Xenopus tropicalis: one gene and its partners. The protein of the gene in region 1 interacts with the protein of each later gene in a biochemical or structural test. Links are inferred from orthologs where the notes say so. Each region holds a gene or a part of one and is shown on either strand. Other genes may lie near its edges. The genes, in order: nedd4, hnrnpul1, rnf7, ndfip2, scn5a, ess2 and map3k2.

Evidence for each region.
Region 2: the proteins of nedd4 (region 1) and hnrnpul1 form a complex in vitro, tested with the Homo sapiens proteins (2 studies listed by BioGRID, with this or other methods). The link is inferred for Xenopus tropicalis from reciprocal best matches to the Homo sapiens genes NEDD4 and HNRNPUL1.
Region 3: the proteins of nedd4 (region 1) and rnf7 form a complex in vitro, tested with the Homo sapiens proteins (2 studies listed by BioGRID, with this or other methods). The link is inferred for Xenopus tropicalis from reciprocal best matches to the Homo sapiens genes NEDD4 and RNF7.
Region 4: the proteins of nedd4 (region 1) and ndfip2 form a complex in vitro, tested with the Homo sapiens proteins (3 studies listed by BioGRID, with this or other methods). The link is inferred for Xenopus tropicalis from reciprocal best matches to the Homo sapiens genes NEDD4 and NDFIP2.
Region 5: the proteins of nedd4 (region 1) and scn5a form a complex in vitro, tested with the Homo sapiens proteins (3 studies listed by BioGRID, with this or other methods). The link is inferred for Xenopus tropicalis from reciprocal best matches to the Homo sapiens genes NEDD4 and SCN5A.
Region 6: the proteins of nedd4 (region 1) and ess2 interact in a test that uses a peptide from one of them, tested with the Homo sapiens proteins (2 studies listed by BioGRID and IntAct, with this or other methods). The link is inferred for Xenopus tropicalis from reciprocal best matches to the Homo sapiens genes NEDD4 and ESS2.
Region 7: the proteins of nedd4 (region 1) and map3k2 form a complex in vitro, tested with the Homo sapiens proteins (2 studies listed by BioGRID and IntAct, with this or other methods). The link is inferred for Xenopus tropicalis from reciprocal best matches to the Homo sapiens genes NEDD4 and MAP3K2.

The regions. Positions count from the first base shown.
Region 1 is NC_030679.2:100,447,885-100,452,118, forward strand, and holds the start of nedd4 (E3 ubiquitin-protein ligase NEDD4), read left to right. Parts: upstream 1-1,434; 5' UTR 1,435-2,097; coding exon 2,098-3,549; intron 3,550-4,234. UniProt on the Homo sapiens protein: E3 ubiquitin-protein ligase which accepts ubiquitin from an E2 ubiquitin-conjugating enzyme in the form of a thioester and then directly transfers the ubiquitin to targeted substrates. Specifically ubiquitinates 'Lys-63' in target proteins.
Region 2 is NC_030684.2:79,222,536-79,226,504, reverse strand, and holds the start of hnrnpul1 (heterogeneous nuclear ribonucleoprotein U-like protein 1), read right to left. Parts: upstream 2,801-3,969; 5' UTR 2,673-2,800; coding exon 2,588-2,672; intron 2,554-2,587; exon of another isoform or gene 2,468-2,553; coding exon of another isoform or gene 2,464-2,467; intron 325-2,463; coding exon 172-324; intron 1-171.
Region 3 is NC_030681.2:129,414,009-129,418,239, forward strand, and holds the start of rnf7 (RING-box protein 2), read left to right. Parts: upstream 1-1,431; 5' UTR 1,432-1,470; coding exon 1,471-1,603; intron 1,604-4,123; coding exon 4,124-4,171; intron 4,172-4,231. UniProt on the Homo sapiens protein: Catalytic component of multiple cullin-5-RING E3 ubiquitin-protein ligase complexes (ECS complexes), which mediate the ubiquitination and subsequent proteasomal degradation of target proteins.
Region 4 is NC_030678.2:125,255,751-125,259,250, forward strand, and holds part of ndfip2 (NEDD4 family-interacting protein 2), read right to left. Parts: intron 1,843-3,500; coding exon 1,689-1,842; intron 1-1,688. UniProt on the Homo sapiens protein: Activates HECT domain-containing E3 ubiquitin-protein ligases, including ITCH, NEDD4, NEDD4L, SMURF2, WWP1 and WWP2, and consequently modulates the stability of their targets. As a result, may control many cellular processes.
Region 5 is NC_030682.2:13,453,893-13,457,920, forward strand, and holds the start of scn5a (sodium channel protein type 5 subunit alpha), read left to right. Parts: upstream 1-1,228; 5' UTR 1,229-2,008; intron 2,009-2,015; exon of another isoform or gene 2,016-2,342; intron 2,343-4,028. UniProt on the Homo sapiens protein: Pore-forming subunit of Nav1.5, a voltage-gated sodium (Nav) channel that directly mediates the depolarizing phase of action potentials in excitable membranes.
Region 6 is NC_030677.2:153,459,323-153,463,530, reverse strand, and holds the start of ess2 (splicing factor ESS-2 homolog), read left to right. Parts: upstream 1-1,408; 5' UTR 1,409-1,602; coding exon 1,603-1,755; intron 1,756-2,887; coding exon 2,888-3,056; intron 3,057-4,208. UniProt on the Homo sapiens protein: May be involved in pre-mRNA splicing.
Region 7 is NC_030685.2:86,477,614-86,481,634, forward strand, and holds the start of map3k2 (mitogen-activated protein kinase kinase kinase 2), read left to right. Parts: upstream 1-1,221; 5' UTR 1,222-1,587; intron 1,588-4,021. UniProt on the Homo sapiens protein: Component of a protein kinase signal transduction cascade. Regulates the JNK and ERK5 pathways by phosphorylating and activating MAP2K5 and MAP2K7. Plays a role in caveolae kiss-and-run dynamics.

The DNA of each region.
Region 1 (4,234 bases):
CCTTTAATCTGCAGATAATCTCAATGTTTTAACCCTGTGCATTGCCACATACAAAAATGCAGCATAGATGAAAGAGCTAACAGAAAACATAGAACCTACCGAGCCAATACTATAGTCTTTTTATTTGAAAACTATAGGCTCTACTTCACATTTCACTAAAAGGGTTGACTTTATAATAACATTATAAGGATTTGCACACAAACTGTATACCATGCATGATTCCTGTAAACTCTGATACTCTGCAGTCAGTGGGGATTTTCTCACTGGCTTCTAATTGTGTTTTGGCATGCTCCTGGTTTACTTATAGCCAAACCCCATGGGTCTTGTGGAAACTGCAGGAAGATTTGGAATGGTTTAACCAGGCCAATTTCTTCTACATTTATTTTCTATTTCAAAGATTAAAACAAAACTGAATTTTATATGCTTTAATTCAGTTGACATTTTTCTGCAGAAAGGATTTTGTCTAATTAAGTTGCTTTAATTGACTAGGCCTTGTTTAGATTTAAGGAATTCCAATCCAAACGTTTACTACAGGTATAGGTTCTGTTATCTGGAAACCCATTATCTAGAAAGTTCCAAATTACGGGAGAGCTACCTGCCATGAACTCCATTATAAGCAAAGAGAACAATGGGAAGGTAGCAAAATAATAAGAAATCCAAGTCTGGCTTGGGACTCCTCCAGTTACAAGGGAGTAGGAGAAACAATAGGTTACCTGAAAGCAGTTCTAATATGTAGCGCTGGCTCCTTCTGAAAGCTCAGACTCAGGCACAATGCACTGAGATGGCTGCCTACACACCATTATTACAACTGAAAAATACATTTGTTGGTTCAAGAATAACACTTAAAATGGTAAAGTAAATTATTTGCTATGTAAACAGTGTTATTTATAAATAAAAAGTACACCATAAAAATCATGACAATCCCTTTAATATTTAAATAATTTTTTGGCAGACCTAAGGTAAGGAGATTCAAAGGAGATCCCTTATCTGCAAACCCCTGGTAACTAATATTATTTATCCAACATTCTCCAACAATGGAATTTTTAGTAAAACCACTAGGTGGCACCACAGGACAGTTGTGAGTTACAAAGTTTGCTTATCAAGCCTACATTCTGTTTTTTAAATTTATTTATTTTATATATTTACTGCATTACATTTTTTGTAAGTATTTTACATTATGTATGCCTATGTAAATGCCATTTACCATTTCCTGTAGTCACCTAATACATTATTTCTTAAGTTATACAGAACTTAGAGGACACTCTTGTTTTATAAATATTCCTGTTGTTAAAATTAATATGACCACTATAGATTAGTTTAAATATATTAGTTGAGGCACAGTCTGTTTAGATGTAGTTTTGCCAAAAGTAAAATAATAATTCCCCATTTTAAGAGAACATATTCATTTCAGTTAAGATTGTAACTAAAAATGCCACTATAAAAATAAAAGTATTTTCTGTTATACTTGAAATATATAATAACAGGTACCAATTTCCTGCAGTTACTACTGCAGTTTACACGTGTGGATGGGCTTTAGAAATTCAATCCCAACGCCGATGCTCGATTATGTGGACCTTCATTCCTTGAAACTTCCTGTAACTTTATATCTATGGGTAAAAATATGAGAGGCTGGGAATTGCTTAGGAACACATAGGCATATTGATTCAAATGGGCAAGTGTTCCGATCTGGTACAGAAACAAAAAGTAATGCAAGAGGTCTGTTGATCTTGGGCAGGACTCATTCATGCAAATATGGGAAAGTAGAACTGAAACACGCTTGGCAGTGTTTCAGCCAGTATGCTGCAGTAAAGCTGAGCGTAAAGGTCGCTGGAAATCAACTGCCTGGAAAGTGAATGCAGTTGAAATAGAAGATATCCAAGACGGTGCAGAGCTAGGATCCTTGGAAAATGTTTGTTTCATGACGTGCTTTGCTGTACCCTTTTGCTTGTACTTTGCCTCTTGTTGACTGGGACACATTCTGCCGCTGTATGTGTATTTTCTTGCACTTATTATAGATGCTTTGCTGCTGCTTTTGGTTTGCATTTGGAGAAAGGGAGCTCTATATATTTAAATCTATAATATGTTCAGAAACAACAAATGGCTCGGCGGTTAAGACTTCACTTTGCAACTAGGAGAAGCAACACTGATCCCTTACCAGAAAGCTCTGGAGATGGCTTGGATAGTAATATTCATATGTGCTTTAAAAGACTCTCTCCAACAACTGCACCCGGTGTGATTCAAATGAGGCTGTCTCCGAGGCAAAGTGTGCAGAAGTCCTCTTCCCCAGAAACTATTCCTATACATCAAGGTCATTCTGTTTCTCCACCATGCAAAAAAAGCACTTCAGTGCAGATTTCTTTACAGCCAAGCAGGAATACTAGATGTCATCAATCTGGCAACACTGCGCCTGCTATGGAAGATATTTGCGTCGTCAGTTCTTACAAGGATGGAATTAATTCTACTATGAGCAGGAATTATAACTGTCAACCCACCATAAATGACACCTGCATCAGTAGTAGTACCTCAGCTGAAAATGGCAGTTTATTAAGCATTTCTGCAAGTGACAATGGATCATATAGTAGCAACAGCAGTGACTATGGCTCCTGTGCAAGTACCGCAAGTGATGCTGGCTCGTGTGCTAACAGTATAGTAAGTGACTGCAGTAGCTGTACTTATTCTTTAAGTGACAGCAATTACTTAAATGTATTACCCAATGGTAATGCCCTGTTCTTTAACCCAGAAGAAAACTGTGAGTTTTTTAAAAGTAAACTGGAAGAACCTTTGCCTATAAATAACTGCAAGTTCCATTTTGACCTGGATCACTCAGAAAAAGAGGAGGTCAGAATTCCTGCAAGGAAGAAAACAAGAATTCCATTAAGACGCTGCTCTTCATTAGTTATTTTTCCTTCTGACACTCCACCAACATCTCCAACTAGTCTAGTCCCTCCATTAAGCAGGGGCTGCTATCAAACTTCTTACCAGCTTATGCTATCCTCTAATGATTTTACACAAAAAGAGGAGCAAGCAGCCTCCAAGGGGTCCCTTTCAACAGCAGTCAATGGGGTTCGGCTTTCCAAAAACACCTGCAATGTTGGTGAGGTTAGAGATGTTAAGCCGCTTTACTTGAATGACAAAGATGATGGACTGCCAAATATTTGCAATTCTGTTGCAGAACACAGCAAACTGCATGAGGATAAACCTCAGCTGAACTCAGATGCACGGCACTGTCGGCTGGTGCGCAGCACATCCGCATATTCTCCCTCCAATAAAACTGTGGAATGCCAGATGGGGAGAAGCTCAGAGCAGGGATACAAAAATATTCACAAGTGCCAATTAACTCATGTTTTTCAAAGAAGTGTCTCTGAAGGTCCCCCACAAAAACGGTCCTCTGCCTCTAGCCTTAAATGTAGACATCCAAAATCAGGGTCCTCTTATTTGCACATACAGTTTGCCCCTGGAAACGAAAGCAGGATTAGTAGCTATAAGAAACAATCTTTAAGAAGCCCCACAACAGAACTGCCTGGTAAGCCTTCTGTGAAATTACTTAAGGTAAGCTTATTTAACATATTAAATTACATTTTGGGCCACCTCATCAAAATTAATGTTTTGCTTTTGCATATTTGCTTGTTATCCTTTTTATATTTATATTTCATCACCAGCTCTAAAGAGGGATTTTTGGTAGCTGTGTTTGTTGGGGGGAAGAAAAAAGATCAGGTGCTTCATTTCTTTTACAGACTCCATGTAAATGTACTAAATTTCTGAGAAGTCCCTAGCTGTTTCTCTGTAAACACTTAGCAATTACATTTAGTGTATCACACAAGTGCTCTTCTGACCCCATGGCATTTGTAATTGAATAAGCTTATTTTGGGCAAGTTTTCTCTTCAAACTGTGCAGTTCTGTGCAAGTCTTAAATTGTGAATGTGTTCTGGCCAGCTATAGTTCAGCATTGTGCACCGGTTAAAAATAAACAGCTCCCAAAATATTTCTCTTGACTCCAGTTAGTCTGGGTGTGTATACTGATATGCTGTGTGTGGGTTCAAATTTAACACGTTGATATTAGAGTAGCTTTTAGTAATGCCAGCTATCTGTACACAGCAGTCATGAAATTAAATCAGAGCTTTACTCAGGGTCTGTAGGCACTGAAGGTTTTGTACGTACTTGCTTAGGATCAGGTTGCCTTCCTTAATAATCAACAGCTTGTTAAGGACTGCTTTCTAAAATCTTCCCCAAACCA
Region 2 (3,969 bases), on another chromosome or scaffold:
TCACTATTTTCATCACAATCCTTCTGACATAACCAATTTCTTTTTGCAATTGTGAAATTAAGCTTGCATACAGATGACATATTAAAAAAACAAAACAAAAGACAGCAAGGCTGGTATGCACTACAGCCATCTGTAAAATGTGAAAAAATAATCATGGAAAAGAAACAGTACCCATATTTGGCAAGAGAGGAGGTGGTGGTTGCTCTGCAGGTCTCCTATCATAACGATCATAGCCCTGATCTCGCTCTTGCTTGATGCCCTCCTGCCTGAATGGAGGAAAACCAGCAGACATTCCATAGTTTTCTGAAGGTTGATTTCCATAATCTGGGGAAAGAGACATATAATTGGAAATCCACACGCAAAATGTATGAAGAAGCCCTACTTGAAATAAACTTAAGAGAATTTTATAGGAAGACCTACTCTAAGCCAGGTTTTCATTTGTTTGTAATTATTTCGTCTTCTTGTTATTCCCTTGTAATTTAACTAACAGACTGAGTGCAAGAATTTTTTATTATTCCTATATTTTTTCTGATCCTTCTATTGAGCATCTCTATCTTCTATTATATCAAACTGTAGCATTGTTGCTATGGTAATAAAGCCATAGCATCCTTATAGCAGTTAACATTCAAATGAGGACAGCTTTACAAAAAATTACATTTACATATTGAAGATAAACCACCACTTTAAATTACAGTGCTATACATAAACATGATGAATACATTCTGCAACAAGACGTATAAAAGACCCCCCTTCTCACAAACATTTGCTTTTCAGTAGTTATGCCCTTTTTAAATGCCATGACTCAGAGCAGTGCATACATTTTAAAAGAATTATAGTTTCACTGTTTTGACCTATATTCTCAGGACCACTGTAGCCCAAAATTACAAGTCCAAAGGGTTTCTACATGCTTACAAAGATTGTAGGACAAGAAACTGCCTCAAATTCTGTTTTTTTTCTACAACCCAAAAAAATCCATCCCCAGTGTTCCAGAGATGGCACTAAAGAAATAGTAGAATCCTGTCAGAATGCCTTTAAAAAATTAAAACATTGTTGCTTTATTATGGGTTGTCTATTTTGAGCCCTCTGCTATCCATGCTTCATTGTGGTACTCTGACATCTTCTTCCCACTAAAGCCCAGTAGCCAGACAGCAGTCTATATACAGCTGGAGATATTCTTGTGCTGTTTTTGCCTATATCATATACAAAATTAATTTGCTGGAGCCTCCAATGTCTGTCTGCAACCATATGTGCTTTGGGCACTATATTTCCCCATAGATAATTATGGAAAGCTGTTACAGGCAGAGACTTTGTGTTTAGGCTGATGGTAGTGGCGGGCCAATTAATTTAAATAAACACCTAAAAGCAAAAAGGAGCTTCTGCTTTGGTCACATCAGCAAACGAATATCAATAAAGATGTTTAGATGTAGTAGGATATGCACAGGCAAACAGGATTAAGTGTCATGTTTTTTTTTTTTAATTGTGAATAATCAAACAGGCAAGAAGAAAAAAAAAAGCTTTTACTTTTGCCTCAACATAAAGTGTAACATTTTGCACATTTTCCTTTAATTGCAAATTCCTTAAGATTGTATGTTTCCTTTCTGAAAAACCTTATGCTATACAGCAAATATTTTTTAAATATGCAGTACCTGCAAAACTATTGTCTGTTAGGTTTGTATACAGCAAGGTGTGTGTTTAACAGAACCTTTGGGTGAGTGCTTTAGATTTGAGTTTTGTACCTTAATAATTTCCTACTACATTATACAATGACTGAATAGTGGCTTCTTGTTTAGAAAAAAAGCAGACAATAAAAGAATGTCTATTTAATAAACAGGTGTCAAATACTTCCTGATGTTACAGAACAAATGCACATTAGGAAATATGTGCTTGTTGGATTAAGAAGTATAATTTAACAGCTCATATTGGTTAAGGAGTGTGGCATGCACCTAAACGCAATTAGAAATGTAATAAATAACAAAACACATGATACTTGGGGTTGGGCAAGGCTGGTGACAGAGTAAATGAGCTGCTGTTAGATTATCTCATGACCAGCAGAAGTGATTTCCTGGGGTTAATGTATGGCGAATGGAATGCTACAAGTTCTTAGGGCATTTACACTGCATGGAGAAGCACATACATGATTTCATGAAAGCTTATGGATACGCTCATATTAAAGATTCTTTAAATTAAGCAACTTGTCCCAAAAACAATAAGCAATTTAATTAAGTGGAGGTGCATTCCTTCATGCCAGCACAAAAGAACTGGGCAAAGCTGTATGCTCAGAATACACACTGTAACCTGGACAGCGCAGAGTAAGGTAGAAATGTCTGCCTACAGAGACCCTCTTATATTACTATCCCAGATACAACCTTATGTCACAAGCGCTGCCTTGCCATTGTCAGAATTTACACCCTATCCTTCCTGTCGCGGCCCTCCACCGAGCTTTCCCAAACAGCTAACAATTACCCATGCAACTCTGCCTTCGTTTCTTTTGCTTCTAATTAAACATATCTCACAATGCCCCATTCCTTAAACATTCCCGATTCCAGATCTGACCCCCATTGTGTAGCCCTCGTTTTCCCGTCCTTACACCGGCCTTCCCCTTCCCTGCGATAGTCTCTAGGCGGCCCTGCAGGATACCCGCCCCGGTGGTATTGTGCTTGGTGATCCCCCATCGTCAACGCTGCCTCCCCCAATACGCGGGTCTTCACCGAGGGTGAACAAAATGGCTGCACCGGCCTCCAAACCTGCGCAGCCTAGGCAAACAGCGATTGGCTAGAACACACAAGGAAGACTAATCAATAGAATGAGCGAGAGAGCTACAGCCGCTCTCAGATTAGCTAAATCTGATGGGCGGTAACTTAGAATGTCCAATAGAAACCGACGATAGCTGTTTCCTATAGCAACGCTACGTCTATTAATGATAATGAAACGTTAAAGCTTGATATACCGATGTGTAAGGCTTTGCCTGCCATGTTGGTACTCCCAATATGTTATCGTGCATATTTAAGAACAGTTCAATATTAATGCAATGTATATACTTTGTAACGCAGAGCTTGTGGTTTGGATCAGGTTGAAAGAATAATAATAGCCTCCTGATAGATGATATGTTGTCCACATTAGGGTACAAGAAAATGCTAGGCTTGGTTTGGATTTTTGCATAGGCATTTCCTTTTCATAGTGCATGAATTTGTCATGAAATTATCTTCTTTAACCTATTCTATTATCTTCTAACATCTGTGTTTGAATTTTACCTGCTTGTCTTTTCAATGTCAGTGATAATTATTGGCATTTCTTACCTTGTTTCATACGATATTCGGTGTGTGTATGGCAACTCGGCGATGCAACCAATATCACAGAAAGCTGATAATATCGATCAACTCACTGATTGGGCGGGTTAAACAATTTTGACTGGGCACCATAGAAGGCGCCCGAGCAAAATCTATGTTTAGGGCTGAATCGGCAGAAGGAGGTAGAAATCCTATTGTTTCTACCTCCATATCTGACGATTCAGCCCTGAACGTCAGTGGTCGCTCGAAAGATCGAAAATCGCCACGTGCGGCCAGCTTTAATCTGCAGTTTTTAATTGTTCCATGTCATGGAACTAAACATAATAAAGAGCATATGGCATTACGACACTCTTGTGCCCACATGGCATTATGACTTGCATAGCTGTGTTTCTTGTATCAAGTCAGTGATGTCATTTTTAATCCATTAATGGCATTGCCTTTTTTGTGTGATGATAAGTGTCTTCACATGGTGGTTCATAACCTAAGTAACCACTGCTCCTCATTCATGCCACTCTGCCAATCCCTGTACTGGCTTCCAAAATAAAATTCAAACTGATGATCCTCACATTCAAAACAGTTCATAACTTTGCTCAACTCTATGGGGCACATTTACTTATTCACGAACGCTCCGAGTGTTTGCTCAATCAGTCCAATCGTATTTTCCGCGACTTTTTCGTACCTT
Region 3 (4,231 bases), on another chromosome or scaffold:
ACACGGACCGATTTTTTACTTACAAACGACCGATTCCCGAACGATCCGATGCTATCGTTAAGTTATCGTATAGTTGGTGGTGTACGAACGATCGTCGGCCCACTAAACGAGCCGACATTACCGTCCCCAAAATCGATCGGCCAGGTTTAAAAATTTTGGTCGTTTAACGATAAAATCTGCCAGTTGGTGTGAGTGTCAGACATTTGTCTTTCAACGATTGTTCTCTGCGCATGTCACGATTGCCAGCAGCAGAAGTCAACGACATCGATCGTACGTAGATGTACGATCGTAGGTATTTTACGATAATGATGCGACAAAATCTTTCCCGAATTATCGTTGCCCGTGGATGGCATATCGTATGGGAACTCGATCGCCATACGATCGTTTGTCGATATAATCGTTCATCGCACAACGAGCGAAATCGCCTCGTGTATGGCCACCTTTACAAACTCCTCCTAACCTTCAAAGCCCTCTATTCCTCTGCTCCTCACTACATCTCTTCCCTTGTGTCTCCGTACGTTCCTGGCCGACTCCTTCGTTCCTCGCAGAGCAATCGCTTGGTTGCGCCCCCCACTACTACTGCGGTTTCCCGCCTTAAACCTTTCTGCCCCTTACATTTGGAATGCCCTCCCTGATGTCCTCCGGAGAGAATCCTCCCCCAGTCTTTTTAAGACTAAACTAAAAGACTTTAGACTCACCCAGCACCTGATCTGGGAACTGGCACTTATATTGTAGTGTCACCCACTGTGACCTACAGCACTTATATTTGCCTATTTGTGTCTGTAAGTTACCCCTCCCATATAGATTGTAAGCTCTACGGGGCAGGGACCTCCATCCTCTTGTGTCTTTGACTCTTAACTTATTGCAGCTGTATTTATCTGTATTTATTGTTATACTTTGTATTTATCTATTATCTTATTAACACCCTGTTTACATTAATGTATTCTACTGTACAGCGCTGCGTACATAAGTAGCGCTTTATAAATAAAGATATATATATATATATATATACACATACATACATAAATACTCTACATGCAGCTGACTGAAATGAAGCTAATTGGTCATTGGTTGCTATAGGTTACTGCCCATGTGCAAATTCACCCAGGGTTGATAAACGAGCAAAATCATCCTCACCTAGGAATATATCAATGATAACACTTTTAAATATAAACCTAATGTTCATTATATTTGTCACTAAACACAAATACTGACATCAGGCAACACCATGCTCCGCCCCAGCAACAAATCGCAGCGCCTTTCCCTTAACTGTTTCGGGCGAATAGAACCAGTATAGCTATTGGTTGCTTCTCTAGGGGCGTAACCCTATGTCTTGCGTACTGGGATTGGCTCTACAGATATATTTTGCTAAAGCGATTGGCTTAGCTTAGCCTGTGCTCTTCTCTCATTGGGTCAATTACCGCAGCACATCGAAAGGATTGGCTATCTGAGGAGCCGCCCCCTGCCGGTATGGCTGCTTTGCGGGAGGAGCACGGAGCGAGCGGACCCAAGATGTTCTCCTTGAAGAAATGGAACGCGGTGGCGATGTGGAGCTGGGATGTGGAGTGCGATACGTGCGCTATCTGCAGGGTGCAGGTCATGGGTGAGAGATACAGCTCGCTGGCACTGGGGCGAAGGCTTCGTGTTGCGGGAATTACCTTCCGCTGCCAGCAGCAGCCCTGCTTGGGGAATCGGCCATACAGTCTCTGGTGGGGGCCGGGGGTTACTGTCACCTACTGAAATGACAGGCGCACACAGGCGGTATATGGAATATACCATTACCCTTCCTGTATTGTCATCCTGGGGGGAGAGGGACATCCCATTCCTAGTAGCTTTTTATGCCCCCCTGGATGACTCAAATCTCCATAGACAGTAATGTTGCTATAGCCCCTTGGCTATTTAGCATCCTTCCCCCCCTCCCTGTGCCAATGCTTTCACCCCCCCATCTGCCCCATCTGTTTGGATTTTGCCATGATATTCCCTGTGGGACTGCACCCATGCCCACCAGTTACACTACTGCCCATACACCCCATTGTGTCACATCATTTATTCCCATACACCCCATTGTGTCACATCATTTATTCCCATACACCCCATTGTGTCACATCATTTATTCCCATACACCCCATTGTGTCACATCATTTATTCCCATACACCCCATTGTGTCACATCATTTATTCCCATACACCCCATTGTGTCACATCATTTATTCCCATACACCCCATTGTGTCACATCATTTATTCCCATACACCCCATTGTGTCACATCATTTATTCCCATACACCCCATTGTGTCACATCATTTATTCCCATACACCCCATTGTGTCACATCATTTATTCCCATACACCCCATTGTGTCACATTATTTATTCCCATACACCCCAATGTGTCACATCATTTATTCCCATACACCCCAATGTGTCACATCATTTATTCCCATACACCCCATTGTGTCACATCATTTATTCCCATACACCCCAATGTGTCACATCATTTATTCCCATACACCCCATTGTGTCACATCATTTATTCCCATACACCCCATTGTGTCACATCATTTATTCCCATACACCCCATTGTGTCACATCATTTATTCCCATACACCCCAATGTGTCACATCATTTATTCCCATACACCCCAATGTGTCACATCATTTATTCCCATACACCCCATTGTGTCACATCATTTATTCCCATACACCCCAATGTGTCACATCATTTATTCCCATACACCCCATTGTGTCACATCATTTATTCCCATACACCCCATTGTGTCACATCATTTATTCCCATACACCCCATTGTGTCACATCATTTATTCCCATACACCCCATTGTGTCACATCATTTATTCCCATACACCCCATTGTGTCACATCATTTATTCCCATACACCCCATTGTGTCACATCATTTATTCCCATACACCCCATTGTGTCACATCATTTATTCCCATACACCCCAATGTGTCACATCATTTATTCCCATACACCCCAATGTGTCACATCATTTATTCCCATACACCCCATTGTGTCACATCATTTATTCAAATAAATGATAAAAAACATAAAGTGTTGGCTACTTGTCCCACAGCATTGATGTTAATAAAGGATCTAGTTCTCTATATTGTGAAATATACACAAACAAACACTATATGGTTTGAAGTATCCAGACTCCCCTTCAGATTAGTGGAAGTTATTATTTAAGCCACACTTCAGTCTCATTACTGATCTGGGGGTATAATGAAGCACCAGCAACAAATATTGCCAAACTTAGTGATTTTTAACATGGCATCATCATAAGATGTCTGTTTTGTTGCTATTTAGTTTGTGAGATTTTGGTGCTGGTGAGATGTAGGTGGGAAAGTGAAGTAGTGGGGCCTGGATACTCGCAGGCAATGCTGAGCGCAGATTACAGCACATATCCGTCAGTTGGAACACTCACTTCTGAGCTCCACACTGTTCCTGAAAGCAATGGCAGCACAAGAACTGTTGGTAAAGTAAGAATAAGGATTTCTATGAGAGGGCAGTGTCACGCAAGCCTAACATTTGGAATGCTAAGCTTCTCCTGGGGAGGATATTGGGAGCAGTGGGAACAGGCCTTTGTCAGATGAATCCCTTGTTACCATCCTAGTTGTTTACCAAATGAGTGTGGGTGACAGACACCAGCTGGACACTCCCTACCTGAATGCATAATGCAGATTTAAAGCTTGGTGGGGAGGAATAATAATCAGTTAGGGCCCCATTGAAAGAAACAGTGTACTATACTGTTAATGACGGTTCCATGTTTTCTACTTTGTGACAACAGTTTGGGTACAGTTCCGTCCTCTTTTATCCATACTAGTCTTCCTGTGACTCTCATGGACCCATTCAGTTCCTGCGACTATCCCATTAATTTACATTGGCATTAAATCCCTACCTCACCCTGGTCTATGTAGAAATGAAAAATCTCATGTCAGATAGGTCTGTCTGTGATTATATACACACATGCACCTCAGATTGGATTCAAGCCTCTTCTGCATGGAATTCCTTCCTGTTTAGCCACATTATATAATTTATTTTTTGCTGCTGGGCAGAAGAGGGTTATAAGAGGAAATATTTTAATGGAAGGTGTGTTTTCCTTTCTAGATGCCTGCCTGCGCTGCCAAGCTGAGAACAAACAGGAGGACTGTGTGGGTATGTTAATAACTGACTGGATTTCTAAGCCCGGGGAGAGAGTTCATGGCTACCTAGTAG
Region 4 (3,500 bases), on another chromosome or scaffold:
CTTTTTAGCTCAAGAAATAACACAAGTCATATATTTTTCGGGATTAAAACAATAGGCAAATATATGTTTGGCACAACCACTATTTATTGAACTCATAATGGGCAAGGGGGTATGCTCAAGTTTTTTTTTCCCCATCAGCTTTTGATTTAGAATTGCCTTGTCATAGTTTATATCTTATACCAGGAACAAGGGCAATATTATCCACAATGTTGCTTGATATATTGGGACCCAGAAGCTTTAAAAGACGAGAAAAGCTCTATTCACTCAGGGGTGCCAAAATCTTAGTCACCTCCCAGTGGACTGAATTTCTAGGTGTGGTCGCTGGGCCTGTGCTCCTGTTAGGAAAAACTGCACCAGTCAAGGAAATTTAAATCACAGCACCCCCATCTTGCTTACCAGTTCCTAGCCAGGGACTTGCACATGCGCAGTAGCACAAGGTTATAGGTTTTTTTGCAACAGTACATCTAAATGTGACAAAAGAGATGACTTGAATAGCAAGGTAAGATGGTGCTACAGTACTGTGTTTCCCAAGCCCACCAAGTCATCTTTCTGTGTGGAAACCTCGTTTCGTACGATAATCGGTGCGTGTATGGTATGTAGGCGAGTCGACCAATATCGCAGGAACCTGTTGATATCGGACGACTCGCCGATCGGACCAGTTGGAAAATTTTGATCGGGCGCCATAGAAGGCGCCTGACCAAAATTCTCCCTTCAGATCTGAATTGGCAGAAGGAGGTAGAAATCCTATTGTTTCTACCTCCTTACCTGCCGATTCAGCCCTGAATGGTGTGTGGCGGATCTTACGATGTTTCGTGCGACCGATGGTCGTACGAAACATCGTCAGATCGCCACGTGTATGGCCACCTTAAAGGAGTTAGGGGAGTCACCCAGGATTGCAGGGATTTTTTAAGGCAATTTTCTGCAGCACAGTGAATTTGCTTAATACACATCACAACAACCTTAAAGAAGAAGGAAAGGTATAGGTAAATAACACCTCAGTAACAAGGTCTCATCTTTATTTAACCTCACAGTGCAGTTCTCTATTGTCCCAGACATTAGAACCGAGTCGGGGAAGTCAGTGTATCAACTTATTTGATACATTAGTTGTTACATTTATCTAACCATAATTGATACAATAGTTGCAGATGATGCTGAGAAATTTATCAACGAATGTACCAAACAGTGTGTGTCCATTGATTACCGAGCTGTCAGACTAACCAGCAAGAGGTTAGTCTGACAGCTAAAACGGTTAGTTGGTTAAGAACCCCGTAAAAAAATGATGTAAAGGAATCCACACTCACAGGGCTTATAATGCAGCAAAAGACATGATTATATGACGCTGTGACATCACATGACATCACTAGAGTGAGACACAACATACAGAGTGAGACAAAAGGTAAAAAAGTAAAACAGAAAATAAGACCTAAAGTTAGCAAAGCACAGTTGTTATATGTCACATCATCCAGAAGGAAAAAAAGATAAAAACTGCACAAAATAAAATTAGACAAATATGTTTGTCCTTGTATTAAAGTAAACAGATATTGTTGCTCAGTGTCTGCAACCATAGAAACCAAAAGGAAAAGAATAGAAGAAATTCAAACAATAAAATCAGACAAATAAGTTACAAACGTATTTATTTGTCTGATTTTATGTTTTTATTAAACAAAGGATTCCTTAACTAGATGTACCTGCATCTGTAGTTGTTCCAGCAACAATGCTGCTGTAGGGTGGAGGAGAGACATCTGATGCAGATGATGAGGTTTGGGCAGCCTGAGATGGTTGCGTAGAGGTTGAAGGCTGTTCTACAGTTGGTGCCTCTGATGAATCATCCTCATTCTGAAGCTAAAGAAAGAAATCAATTTGGCATTTAATTCTCCAAAACAACTACTGCTAGCTATAAATATTGAGCCAAATGCACACTTGGAGCAATCTCAGTATCTCCCATAGATGTCAAAGGTTGAAGTGATCTGTGATGGGTTACTTATGTGACAATATGATGCTCTATATGTATTTACATATAAAAAAATACCTAAATAAGACTTGTCTGCCCCATTACTTCAGTCAATATCACTATTAATCACGACTGGCTGTGAAGCCTCTTCCATTGTGAAAGTAGGTAGGCTTTATTCTCTTCACGCATGCTACACAGCTTCCACAGGGCTAACCCTCATGCTAATCCTGGTTAATTTTATTAAAAACAATCAACTCCAGCTTTCACAATTTGTGCATTTGCACAGACAGCAAAGGTTACTACTTTTCCCTCTGATATTTATGTTACTCAATGGAGAGTAAGGGTGGTCACATATGGGCAGATTTAAGCCTTCCGACCTATTTGGCAGCTTATTTGCCCTTTCATGGGGACCCCTGATGGGCCACTCCAACTGATATCTGGGCAAAAATTGACCAGGTGTCAATCAGGCAGGATTGGTTTTTCCACTGGATCTGGGACTGCATTGGCTCATTGATGCAGTCCTAGCTCTGACATCTCTTATACATGTCACCGTAATTCAGTTGTTTGGCCTATGGCCAAGGTGGTCATACAGGGAGAAAGATCCACTCTTTTGGCAATCTTGACAGATGAGCAGGTCTTAAAGGAACAGTAACACCAAAAAAGTGTAATTACAATATAATGTGTTGTTGCCCTGCATTGCTACAACTGGTGTGTTTTCTTTAGAAACTCTACTAGTTTATATAAACAAAGTTACTGTGTAGACATGGGGGCAGCCATTCAAAGGATAAAAGGCACAGGTTATGTAGCAGATAACAGATAAGTTCCCTACAATACAATGGTGTTTTATCAGTTATCTGCTATGTAACCTCTGCCTTTTCTCCTTTTTTCCAGCTTGAATGGCTGCCCCCATGGCTACATAGCAGCTTATTTATACAAACTATAATAGCATTTCTGTAGCAAACATGCAAATTTTACCAGGGCAGGGCAACTGTACATTGTATTATAATTACTTTAAAACACTTTCATTTTTTGGAGTTACTGTTCCTTTAACATGTATGGCCACCTTTGATCTATATTTATTGCCAGTTTTTTTGGTAACAATGCGATCTCCTTAACTGGTATGCTATGTGCGCCCTATCTACACTAACTTCAACATAATGCTCTCCGATGCATAGTTTAAACACTCCACCAGCATTTTAGTCCCACCCGAAGACTGCTAGTTTATGCTCGGTCCCACCCAATGTTTTTGTCTACGATATGCTGAACCCTGGCCACTTTCCTAGTAACTCAATCTCACCCATCTCTTCCCCCCACCACTACCACTACTATTATAGAGGCAGTTCTCCAGTCCGTAAGAGTGATCAGGCCCATTTAAAACAGCCTTTCCAGAGTTTAAACTCCCATCTTCCTCATACAGTCTGACAAATCTGTTGGGATGCTCAAACCACAGATCAGCCTTCCTTTTTCCTTTCCCTACATTATCCTTTCTTACCGTTAACCAACTTACTTCCTCATCATCCTGCTGCTGTTCTCCTTTCCAAATTCTATC
Region 5 (4,028 bases), on another chromosome or scaffold:
GGAGAGATGGTGCCTATAGTAGCAATGGGGGGATAATAGCCTCTGGGAAGGGACTGGGGCTGTGGGATAGCAGGTATAGTAGGGAGAGATGGCGCCTATAGTAGCAGTGGGGGGATGATAGCCTCTGGGAAGGGACTGGGGCTGTGGGATAGCAGGTATAGTAGGGAGATATGGTGCCTATAGTAGCAGTGGGGGGATAATAGCCTCTGGGAAGGGACTGGGGCTGTGGGATAGCAGGTATAGTAGGGAGAGATGGTGCCTATAGTAGCAGTGGGGGGATAATAGCCTCTGGGAAGGGACTGGGGCTGTGGGATAGCAGGTATAGTAGGGAGAGATGGTGCCTATAGTAGCAGTGGGGGGATAATAGCCTCTGGGAAGGGACTGGGGCTGTGGGATAGCAGGTATAGTAGGGAGAGATGGTGCCTATAGTAGCAGTGGGGGGATAATTTACCTTTCTATAAAGTTTTAGTAGATTGGCCTATTCAATCCTTATTATTTTTTTTTATATTGGATGAGGTTTCATTATTGACCTTCTATGTCTGCCTCATTTCTACCTGCAATTAAAAAATTATCCCAGCAAGAACGAATAAACAAACAAACAAATAAATAAATGAATAATGCTAATCTTTATATTCAGGCCCTCGGCTATTCTTCCTAGTTGCTGAGCAGTTGAGCCCTAGCAACGAGATTGCTGTTAGAATTCCAAGCGTCACAGCTGCACAAGAAAAAATGTAAATATAAAAAAACTACAAAATAAGAGATAGAATCACCTCTACCTCTTATTAAGCTTATACTACCCCTTTAGGGGGTTAAATAATGGAATAATAGATGAGGGCACATTATTTTAGATTTGGAGTTTAAATTCTAACATCTCTCGTAAAACCTAATACATAAAGAGACATTCACCTAAAATTAACCCTGACTGTGCTGTAATGATTTATTTTTGTTTCTAGGGAGATTTATAAAACTCTTGCTGTTTAGTCATGATAATCGTCTGGTTCCTTAAGGCAAATGATGGCAAAATCACTGCACATTGATTATAAAAAGAGTTAATCGGATTGAAAGAGCACGAAATCTGCGCAGCGCTGGATTCCATTCCGAGCGTATTCAGCCTGCCGCTAGGTGGCGCTAACGATCCAGCGTTTGTACGTGCACAGTTGCTTATGGGAGGTTCGTATAAGGGAGTGACTGGCTGGGGAATATTGCAGCCACATCCCTTTCAGTGGAGAGTGCTCCCTGTTGTGCTTATTATGAAGACAACATGCTAGAGATCGCACCTGCCCCAGGCTTTGCATTGGCAGGTGGAAGCAATTCTCTTTGTATTTCTCTGGAGCCCACAGTAAGGTGCAGCTAGATCAGCTCCCACAGTGCCAGAAAGGGAATCTCAGCTGGAGCAAATACTTTGCAAGACTCTTGCTTTTCCATGAAACTTTCAGCTTCTTGGATGCTAACTTTGGAGCTGCCTCTGCGTTACTACCTGACCACAGGAGAGGAGAAACCAGCTGGACCAGCCTGCCTGGGAGTTTCACTGTGATTTTAATAATGATTTTATGGCTTTTCCCCAGAAAGGATTAGACTTCCAGTTTGGGACCAGCTATTAACATTTCATTTGCCTTTTTAATCTGAATTTGCATTCAGCAAACCCTATTGCGCAGAACAGGAGGGCTCTTTGCTCCTTGGTGGATCTCAGCCTACTTTGGCTAAGTGTGCAGTTGTGGTGGAGCAGCTGGGTGGGAAGGTGGAGGTGGCTTGGCTGGGTTTTAGGGCTTGCACAGTCATGAATCTCTTGGCCACATTCCTGTCCTGACACTATCACAGGACCCCGAGGCTTGGAGGGAACATGGAATTCCAAGAGAACTGAAGAGGGTTTGACTTGGTCCTCCCAGTGAGTGCTGGGGGCAGCTGCTTGCCTGGTTGACTGAGGAGTGGTTTTACCTTGAGACCAGTTGTGAACTGCTAGTCAGACTGGACACATCCCAGAGCCTCAATCTCAGCAAACCCTCTGCAGGTAATTAAACGCTTCACCCTTGCCTACAACTTCACCCCCTTGGAATACCTAAACTTGCCCCCCTTTTATTTTCCTTCTTGCTTTTTTCTTTTTTTCAATATTCACTACTCCTATTCAGCTTTGGCAAAATTCAGCAGCTGGAGGTGGGGGGGTTTGGCGTATTCCCCACTTCTTGTGCCTCCCACAAATAACAACGGGAGCTGAGTTTTTAATTGGACTGAGATTTAGGGGGGGGGGGGAGAGCAGAACCATCGGTGGAGTTTAATCCCCCTGAATTTAACCGCAGTTCTGGGGACCTGGGAGTCATAACTGTTGCGGACAGCTCTCCAGCGCTGTAAGTATCCCCCAGACTTGGCATGTGTCTAACCCTGTGTGCTGGGAACGCGCTGCATGGCTTCGCCTCCTGAATCAAATTCATTTATTTACCTTCTAGCTGAGTGTGTGTGCCAGACATCTGCTTCCTATTGTACATTTAGTAACCAGATACCCAGACTTGCGCCCACAACTCTCAGCCCTTATTGCCCCGTCTACTGAATTCAACCGGGGGTGCGAGCAACAAATTTCTTCATTTGGGTTTAAACCCTTTGTTTGGATTCAGTATTTGATTTATTGTAAATTTTTATTTTAGTTTGGAAATCTTGGCATGCTGAAAATGGCTACGGCTAGATTGGCTTTTACAGCTTTGTAATGGGGTACTGTATATACTGTATGTATATTATATTCACACACACATTTATACAGGGAAAAGTTGCGCACACTGCATTGCACATATGTGTGCTTTTGTATGTATAATATAATATATATTGATATATTTACATCAATTTACTACTAATTTACTATACATTTGGGAAAAAAATTATTTTTTCTTAAACAACAGTACGGTTGACTGCTTAGGGCCCTGCCAATAATGGGGCCCCACGGAGCAGCAGCTGTAGGTAGGAGTGTGTGTTGGCGGTGGACAGCAGGTATAGTTGGGCAAGATGAAGACAGAAGGGCAACATGGCGGGCATAATACTTTCTATTACTGTTTCCCAGCCTTCAAGCGCTCAGTTGTGGAAGAAGTTGTAGTTTAACAACAGCTAAGGAGGCTGCAGGTTGCCCTACATTCTATATAAATAACAGGTTGCAGAAAGTCTTTTTTACCCAGGGCCCTGCTGCTGCTACTAAAGACATCACGGGAGATTGATAAGATTAAGGCTGATTGCTGAGTACCATTTAGGACTAGAGAAACCTGTTCAGACGGGGAGTGACGGGTCTGCGGGGCGTTAGAACTAAGAGTATCGCAGCCGCCTTATCTGATAAATACAGTAAATCCAGTACAGTGGGGGGGATTGGGGTATATTAATACAGTTGAAAGACTGGGGTAAATCAAATTTGGAGGACTCGGGTAAATTTTGTACAGTTTGACAATTTTGGCTAGCCAAGTAAAGTTGGAGGACTGGGGTTAATCCAGGACATTTGGAGTTTGGGGTATATCAACTACAGTTGGAGGACTGGGATAATTTGATACAGTTGGGGGACTGGGGTAAATCCAGAACAGCTGGACAATTTGGGTAAACCAAGTACATTTGTAGGGCTGGGGTAAAATAGTACAGTTGAAGGAGGAGGGTGAATCCAGAGTTACAGCATTAGGGTAAATCTAGTACATTTATAGGACTTTTGTAAATCCAGTAGTTAAAGTGTTGGGGTAAATCCAGTACCATGGGGAAGAATTGGGGTAAAATAGTACAGTTAGAGGAGTGGGGTAAATTAGTACAGTTAGAGAATTGGGGTAAAATAGTACAGTTAGAGGAGTGTGGTAAATTAGTACAGTTAGAGAATTGGGGTAAAATAGTACAGTTAGAGGAGTGTGGTAAATTAGTACAGTTAGAGAATCGGGGTAAAATAGTACAGTTAGAGAATCGGGGTAAAATAGTACAGTTAGAGAATCGGGGTAAAATAGTACAGTTAGAGAATCGGGGTAAAATAGTACAGTTAGAGAATTGGGGTAAAATAGTACAGTTAGAGAATTGGGGTAAAT
Region 6 (4,208 bases), on another chromosome or scaffold:
TTCTCCTCTATTTGCAAAGAGAATATCCTAAGGTGAACGGCTCCCCCTTCTGGAGCTTGATGCAGCAAGCCTGAATGCAGTAAGGTTGTGAAATGCCTATTGTAAAATGCCTATTGTAAGATTACAAATATGTAATTTATTAGACAAAGATCATGTCTTTATTAGACAAAGATCATTACAATGTTTTACAAAACATTAGTAGTGTATATGCATTTAGCAGGGTTGCAAACCAGGCCCAGGGATTCCAAACAGGCCCTGGCATTTCAAGTACACAGAGACCCAAAAAGCCCTCCACCAGCCCACTAAATAGTTACTGTCTATGGCATCTTACAGCAGCCCCTCTGAAAGGCATGTCCTTGTATGCATGCTAATTAAATCATAATGATCATAAACATTCTCAAGGCACCTCAAACAGCTCCCAACCAGAGGCGGGCCAAGCTGACCGGCCATCCTAGGCAATGCGGTCGGTCACCTCTTCCCTGCACTTTCCCCGCCCTCGTGTGTGCTTTGGCGCGCATGTGCAGTTCCATCAAGCACAGGGGGAGGTCATTGCCCCCACCGCGTAATGACAAGCGGCGGGGGCAATGACAAGGTAGCGTGGACTACGGGGTAGGCAAGAGAGGTTCCTGCCTGGCGCCCCCCAATCGTTGTGCCCTAGGCAGGTGCCTGTCTGTCTACCCCTAGTTCCGGCCCTGTTTTGACAGCTCAGCCTGCAGTCCTGGATTCTTACTGAAAAGTCCCTCATTGCCCTTTTCATTGCACTGAAGACCAAAAAAGATACAAATGTTTCTCAAACTTAATTAAAAAGTAGCTTTTGGCAGAGAGCCCAAAAAGTTAACAAGCTTCACCTGCACTGAAATACAATTGTAACTTATAAGCTAAACAGGTCTCTTGTGGGGAACTGACTTGCAGCTTAAAGGGCAATTTCAGCATTTTTTAAACAAAACTGTAATAACACATAAAACAAGACCCCAAAAAATGAAATTCACCTTGCTATGTGTGGCATTTCTTTTTGTCCCTCTTTCCATTTTCAAAATGTTGGGAGGTATAGTTCCATACTTTTGTAAATCACATAAAGTGACATAACATTAACTACAGGATATAAAATACCGTGTCAGTATGTAATACAAATATGAATTGTAAGCAAACAAGCAAAATCAAACTGTACCTATAAAATAAGTGAATAGTCTGAAAACCCGAGGAAAAAAAATGTAAATTTTATAAGGAATGGAATTCCTTTCCCTGGTCTCTTTCCTACTCAGCATTTAAACTTGAATATAATTATATTTGGTATTTATCCCTTTTGTTATTATTGTATTGACTCCTGTATGAATTCATTGCTGGAAGGTTCCCCGCATCCCACACTACAACTTCCGGCAATTTACTCACGTTACAACTACGTTTCCCAGAATGCAATACGCTATTGCGCTTCATCTTCCGGAATGCGTTGTGGTTGTATGGTGTCGGAGAGGGTCTGCTGAATGTAGTTATATTGCGGTGGGATTGCGATTTGTTTTTTAGACGTCTATACACAGCAAGAATCCTTGTGGCTTTATATATGTGAGCGTTTGTGTGCTGGTGTCTCTGTGTCAGTACCGCGGGATGGCAGCCCCTGGAGCGGAGAGTGAAAACACTGGGGCATTAGTGAAACACAAGCCTGGAGCAGGAGCTTTAGACATACAAAGAGAAGTCCCTGAGGCAGCAGAGAGCAGCAGGCCAAAGAAGAAGGTGCTGTGTGAAGAGACGTATATACAGGTAAGTCACGGGGGATACGGTGACATGAGAAGGAATGTGCTCTTGAGTGTGTTTTTGGGGACAGCTGTCAGATCAGTGCGATGTCGTAGAGTCTTTGCAGTACTGTGCCGAAAAACTGAGCACTGGCCCTATAATATTCACACGCATGGCAAGTTACCTAAACTAAATTACATGAGACGGGCAAATGCCCCTTTGACAATAGAGCAACTACTTCAACCAATAATCACAGGTTTTTTTTTAATATTAACTGTTAAATATATATTATCATAGAAGACAGTGGAGCTCAGCTATAAGCAAATGTCAGTGGTATCATCAGGCACAAAGTTCCTTCTGCAGGTGAAAATTTAATGCAACTTTCCCACCGGCCATTCACTTTATTGCCGATGGAAAGGAATTTCTTGGAGATAAGTCTCCCACTGTAGCCGAGATCTAACCATGGGCGACTAATTTCACCGTGGGCCCTTACCCTTGACCCCTACATGTTTACCCATCTGCAGTAACCCATAGCAACCAATAAGATGTTTGCTTTTAAAAGGTGATCAGTAAATGCTACCTGCTCATTGTTTACTATGGCTTACTGCACATGGGCAAACTTAGTACCTTACATAACCCCTATATAGTTTGATAATAGCCCACTGGTTCTCCTTTTAATGCATGCCACTCAAAGTTAAAGCAACATGTTATGGATGTATAAATGAAAAGAGTAATTGGAACAAGAGCCTGCTTGCTAGTTTTTGATGGGTTCCCACTACTGAGAGCAATTGTATTAAAAAAAACTCCCAAAAAAATAGGATTTAAATAGAAACCCTATATTTTCTAAAATGCTTGTACCCTTATCAGCAGATTAATGCCTAAATGAAATGCCACATTAACCCCCTAAACTTGGAATTCATAACATGAAATACAACTTTTCTTTTGTGTTTTTTTTTTAATGAGGAATATGTGGAGTGTGTGGACATCATATGCTCCGTTTTAGAGATTCAGTTTCAGTGGTTAGACAAATCTTGATTTTTATTATATAAAGTGTGATTACATAAGTAAGTCTTTGTCTAGCTTGTCTTTTGTACGGCATAGCAAACAGTATATGTGGTTTGTAAAAACCACCTTTTTGTTTTTCTCTATCTTCATGCAGAATCTTCAGAAAATCATTCAGAGAGATTTCTTCCCAGATGTTGAGAAGTTGCGGGCTCAGAAGGAATATTTGGAAGCAGAGGAATGTGGAGACCTTGAGAAGATGAGACAGATTTCCATTAAGTTTGGCTCCACCTTGGGCAAATCAGCTCAGGATACTCCACTGCCTTGTAAGTTTATATTACTAATGAGCTCATGGGGAAGATCCTGTTACTTATATATTTTATATTCATGCTACTTAATTAATGCAAATGCTGCTTGGGTTTTAAATAATGGGCTTGCCTGCTTAGAAACAACATCTAATGGGTTAATGTAATAAAATGTCTAAAATGTAGCAATTTGTAGCCGCCAATCAGTAAACAGTAATTGCTACTAGCTAATTGATTACTTTGGGTTTCGAGACAAGCTTTACACATTATTCCCATGCGAGATAGGGAGTAGCAGCCTGGCTTAAATAATTCCGAAACATTACTACATATATAAATGTAAATATTAATTGTCAGATGAGTTTGTTTTTTTAAAGACTGCAATAGGTATAGAATTTCCAAGACTGGAGCAGTGAGAAAAAGGTTTAAGGTAGGAGACAGCAATGGAAGTGGGTGGCAGTCGCATTGAAAACTTGGGAATATGTTTATTAATACCAATTTTAATTCTAGCTAAAAATATTCCCAGGTTTTTACAGTATACACTGACATATTTTAAAGATAAAATAGCTTTTTTTTTGTTTACATTATTTTGTGTTCCGGCTGTAAAACTTGGAATTTAGAGTGATAACTGGTTGCTGGGGTTTTTGTACCCTATCAATGAGGCAGAAGTTTGGAAATCAGAATGAAAGATAAAAAACTTCCCAAAATGTATTATTTAAAGAAAGTGTAATTTTATGCCTACCCTACCTTTCCAATATACATTAATATAGATTTTATTTTTAAATTAAATTAAAAGCAGCATCTTTTTATAACTTTTTGTTTTCTAGGCCTACCTTAGACTGTCAGGTTAACTGGTTCTTGAAACTGACCCTAGTGTATGTGCATACATACTAGGGATCTTATATTGTACGCTCTGCTGTGTTAGGGCGAAGACAGATGGGGTGATTAGTTGGCGTGATTTTTAAAATCCAGTCACAGCAACTAATCACCTGTTGGAAAAGTCGTGGGGACTGGTCCTGCACGGTACCATGCAAATGCAGTGAATTGTATATCTGTGCACAGAGATTATTCTTCACGAGAAGTGATGGGCAAAATAATTTGGCAGGCATGGATTTGCTGTGAATTTTCGAGTTTCGCCATTGGTGGCTTGTTTTGCGAAATGGGCGACAAAATCCG
Region 7 (4,021 bases), on another chromosome or scaffold:
CCTCAGTGACTGCTAATATCCTTATCATTTACAGTAGGGGGTACATTATCCTTATAATACATGAGTGATACTCAGAGTTCCCTGTATAACTCAGCCTGCAGCCTTGTGCCTTTATATGGGGGGCACAGAACCCCTCAGTGACTGCTAATATCCTTATCATTTACAGTAGGGGGTACATTATCCCTTATAATACATGAGTGATACTCAGAGTTCCCTGTATAACTCAGCCTGCAGCCTTGTGCCTTTATATGGGGGGCACAGAACCCCTCAGTGACTGCTAATATCCTTATCATTTACAGTAGGGGGGTACATTATCCCTTATAATACATGAGTGATACTCAGAGTTCCCTGTATAACTCAGCCTGCAGCCTTGTGCCTTTATATGGGCACAGAACCCCTCAGTGACTGCTAATAGCCTTATCATTTACAGTAGGGGGTACATTATCCCTTATAATACATGAGTGATACTCAGAGTTCCCTGTATAACTCAGCCTGCAGCCTTGTGCCTTTATATGGGGGGCACAGAACCCCTCAGTGACTGCTAATATCCTTATCATTTACAGTAGGGGGTACATTATCCTTATAATACATGAGTGATACTCAGAGTTCCCTGTATAACTCAGCCTGCAGCCTTGTGCCTTTATATGGGGGGCACAGAACCCCTCAGTGACTGCTAATATCCTTATCATTTACAGTAGGGGGTACATTATCCCTTATAATACATGAGTGATACTCAGAGTTCCCTGTATAACTCAGCCTGCAGCCTTGTGCCTTTATATGGGGGGCACAGAACCCCTTAATGTTGTCTATTAACAACTTGACATTATTTCCTTGAATAAAACCTTTATGAGACAAACTCCATGGAATGGAAGAGAAGGGCCACCCCGGTCTAACGCGGTATAAGGCGACACTGATATACTACAAGTGATACATTATCAACCGAATGTGTTTTTTTATTCCACATTTCTATGAAAATTAAACACGAGCAAAACCCCCTCACAAGTAGGGAACTCTATCACTTTAAATCTGAACGCTCAGCTTCCGCATCTCCGTGAGCTTCACAACTACAACTCCCAGAATTCCGTCGTTGAGAGTTTACGCAAGCCAATCGAATTGCGCATGTGCTTGAGCCATCCCCTGTTGAAATGACAGACAAGGCTGTGGGCCAATAAGCTGAAAGTTTTGTCTCTAGGCGATGACAGCCGTGCTCCTCCCCTTTATTGACGCCTCCGTGCTTGTCTCTGCTGGCGCTAGCCCCTCCCCCCTGTGACGTGCGCGTACTCGGTCCCGTAGTCCCAGGTTCACACGCTCGGTTTGGTTCCGTCGCTCCTTATTAATTAACCCTTACGCCGCGGCTGCCTTTTCGTAAGCGGAGCAGTTACGGGGCCTGTGCAAGTTCCGAGGGTTCCGGGATGGCCGCCATTTTGTGAAGAGCGGGCCCAGTTCGGAATAACACTGCCGCCGCTGCCCCCGGGCCTGTGACCCCCCGCCCCCCCCGGGAGGAACAGGCTGGGGGCGGGGGATTGCTGGAGTCGGAGCTGCAAGGGCTTCTGGGAAGTACAACCGGGCCCCCGGCTCAGCTGACAGGTATAAGGGCCACACATTCATTTTAAAGGGGGCTGCAGGCTTTGGGGGGGTTGTGTTGGGGGGCTATTAGTGTTTATGGAACTCTGAGGGGGGGGGAATTCATTGGGGGCTGTTATGGGGGAGGGACAACTGTAAAGGGGGGGTGCTATGGGCATTACAGGGGGGCTATATGATGTATTGGGGCTGGGGAGCAATGTCTGAGGGTGTCATGGGGGGGCAAGTGTGGCTAATATTTGTGTTTGCCATGGGAATCAGCTGCTATCTGCTACATTGTGTCAGCAGTCACAGCCAGCAGTGCAGCAGTCAGAAGCAATTGCCTTGGCAAGTACATTAAACCCACAGAGAATGAGGGAAGAAAGTGTATGGTGATTGGAATGGTATTTTCTCTTATTATACAGAATAGGGGAGCTACTTACATATAATATAAACCCAATAGGGCTGTTCTGCCCCCAATAAGGGGTAATTATATCTTAGTTGGGATCAAGTACAGGTACTGTTTTATTATTACAGAGAAAAGGGAATCATTTAACCATGAAATAAACCCAATAGGGCTGTTCTGCCCCCAATAAGGGGTAATTATATCTTAGTTGGGATCAAGTACAGGTACTGTTTTATTATTACAGAGAAAAGGGAATCATTTAACCATTAAATAAACCCAATAGGGCTGTTCTGCCCCAATAAGGGGTAATTATATCTTAGTTGGGATCAAGTACAGGTACTGTTTTATTATTACAGAGAAAAGGGAATCATTTAACCATTAAATAAACCCAATAGGGCTGTTCTGCCCCAATAAGGGGTAATTATATCTTAGTTGGGATCAAGTACAGGTACTGTTTTATTATTACAGAGAAAAGGGAATCATTTAACCATTAAATAAACCCAATAGGGCTGTTCTGCCCCAATAAGGGTAATTATATCTTAGTTGGGATCAAGTACAGGTACTGTTTTATTATTACTGAGAAAAGGGAATCATTTAACCATTAAATAAACCCAATAGGGCTGTTCTGCCCCCAATAAGGGGTAATTATATCTTAGTTGGGATCAAGTACAGGTACTGTTTTATTATTACAGAGAAAAGGGAATCATTTAACCATGAAATAAACCCAATAGGGCTGTTCTGCCCCCAATAAGGGGAAATTATATCTTATTTGGGATCAAGTACAGGTACTGTTTTATTATTACAGAGAAAAGGGAATCATTTTTAAAAATTAGAATTATTTGCTTATAATGGAGTCTATAGGAGATGACACTTCCGTAATTCTGAGCTTTCTGGATAACGGGTTTCCAGATAATGGCTCCCATACCTGTACTAAGGCTTTATAGTCGCTGTTGCAGAGATACATTGACCGGAAGATCTCATAAACTCATCAGATTTAGTAGCGCCCGACAGGATCTGGTGTTGTTGCACGCAGTGTAGCTCAGCCCTAAGGGGATCAGTCAGGGACGGGGGAGATTCCTGGGAGCTGATCCAGCAAGTCATGCAATCCAGTGGTGTAAATTAGCTGCTTGTTTCTGGTGGGGGGGCTAGAAGCATTGACGGATAGGGGCTGTGCAGTAAGTCACTAAACTTGCTCTCATTTTTAGGCAACTAGATTTTCCAGCTTCTCCAGTTGCAGCCTGTACAGGTCCAAACAGATATGGTTTGGGAAGGGCAATTGTTTGGCCCCGTGCTATGGTCACTGCTCTGCAGAGGAACTAGGGATGCACCAAATACACTATTTCTGGGTCGTGCTTGCTTAAATTTGTTTTACTTTGTGTTTATGTGGCCAAAAGGCACATGATTTTAAGGATTTGGTTCAACCAGGCCATATCCGAATCCTGCATAAAAAGGCAGAATCTTGGCCGAATCCTGGATTTGGTGCATCCCTAATAGGAACACTAAGACGGCCTCTAAAATCAGCCTGGATAGGGTGCTGGTAACCACCTGTAAGTAAAGGAATACAGATATGGGATCTTGTATGCGGAAACCCATTATCCAGATGAATTCCGTTCTGAATTACGGAAAGGCCATCTCCCATTGACTCCATTATAAGCAAATAAATTCAGAATTTTAAAAGTGATTTCCTTTTCTCTGTAATAATAAAACAGTACCTGTACTTGATCCCAACTAAGATATAATTACCCCTTATTGGGGGCAGAACAGCCCTATTGGGTTTATTTCATGGTTAAATGATTCCCTTTTCTCTGTAATAATAAAACAGTACCTGTACTTGATCCCAACTAAGATATAATTACCCCTTATTGGGGCAGAACAGCCCTATTGGGTTTATTTCATGGTTAAATGATTCCCTTTTCTCTGTAATAATAAAACAGTACCTGTACTTGATCCCAACTAAGATATAATTACCCCTTATTGGGGGCAGAACAGCCCTATTGGGTTTATTTCATGGTTAAATGATTCCCTTTTCTCTGTAATAATAAAACAGTACCTGTA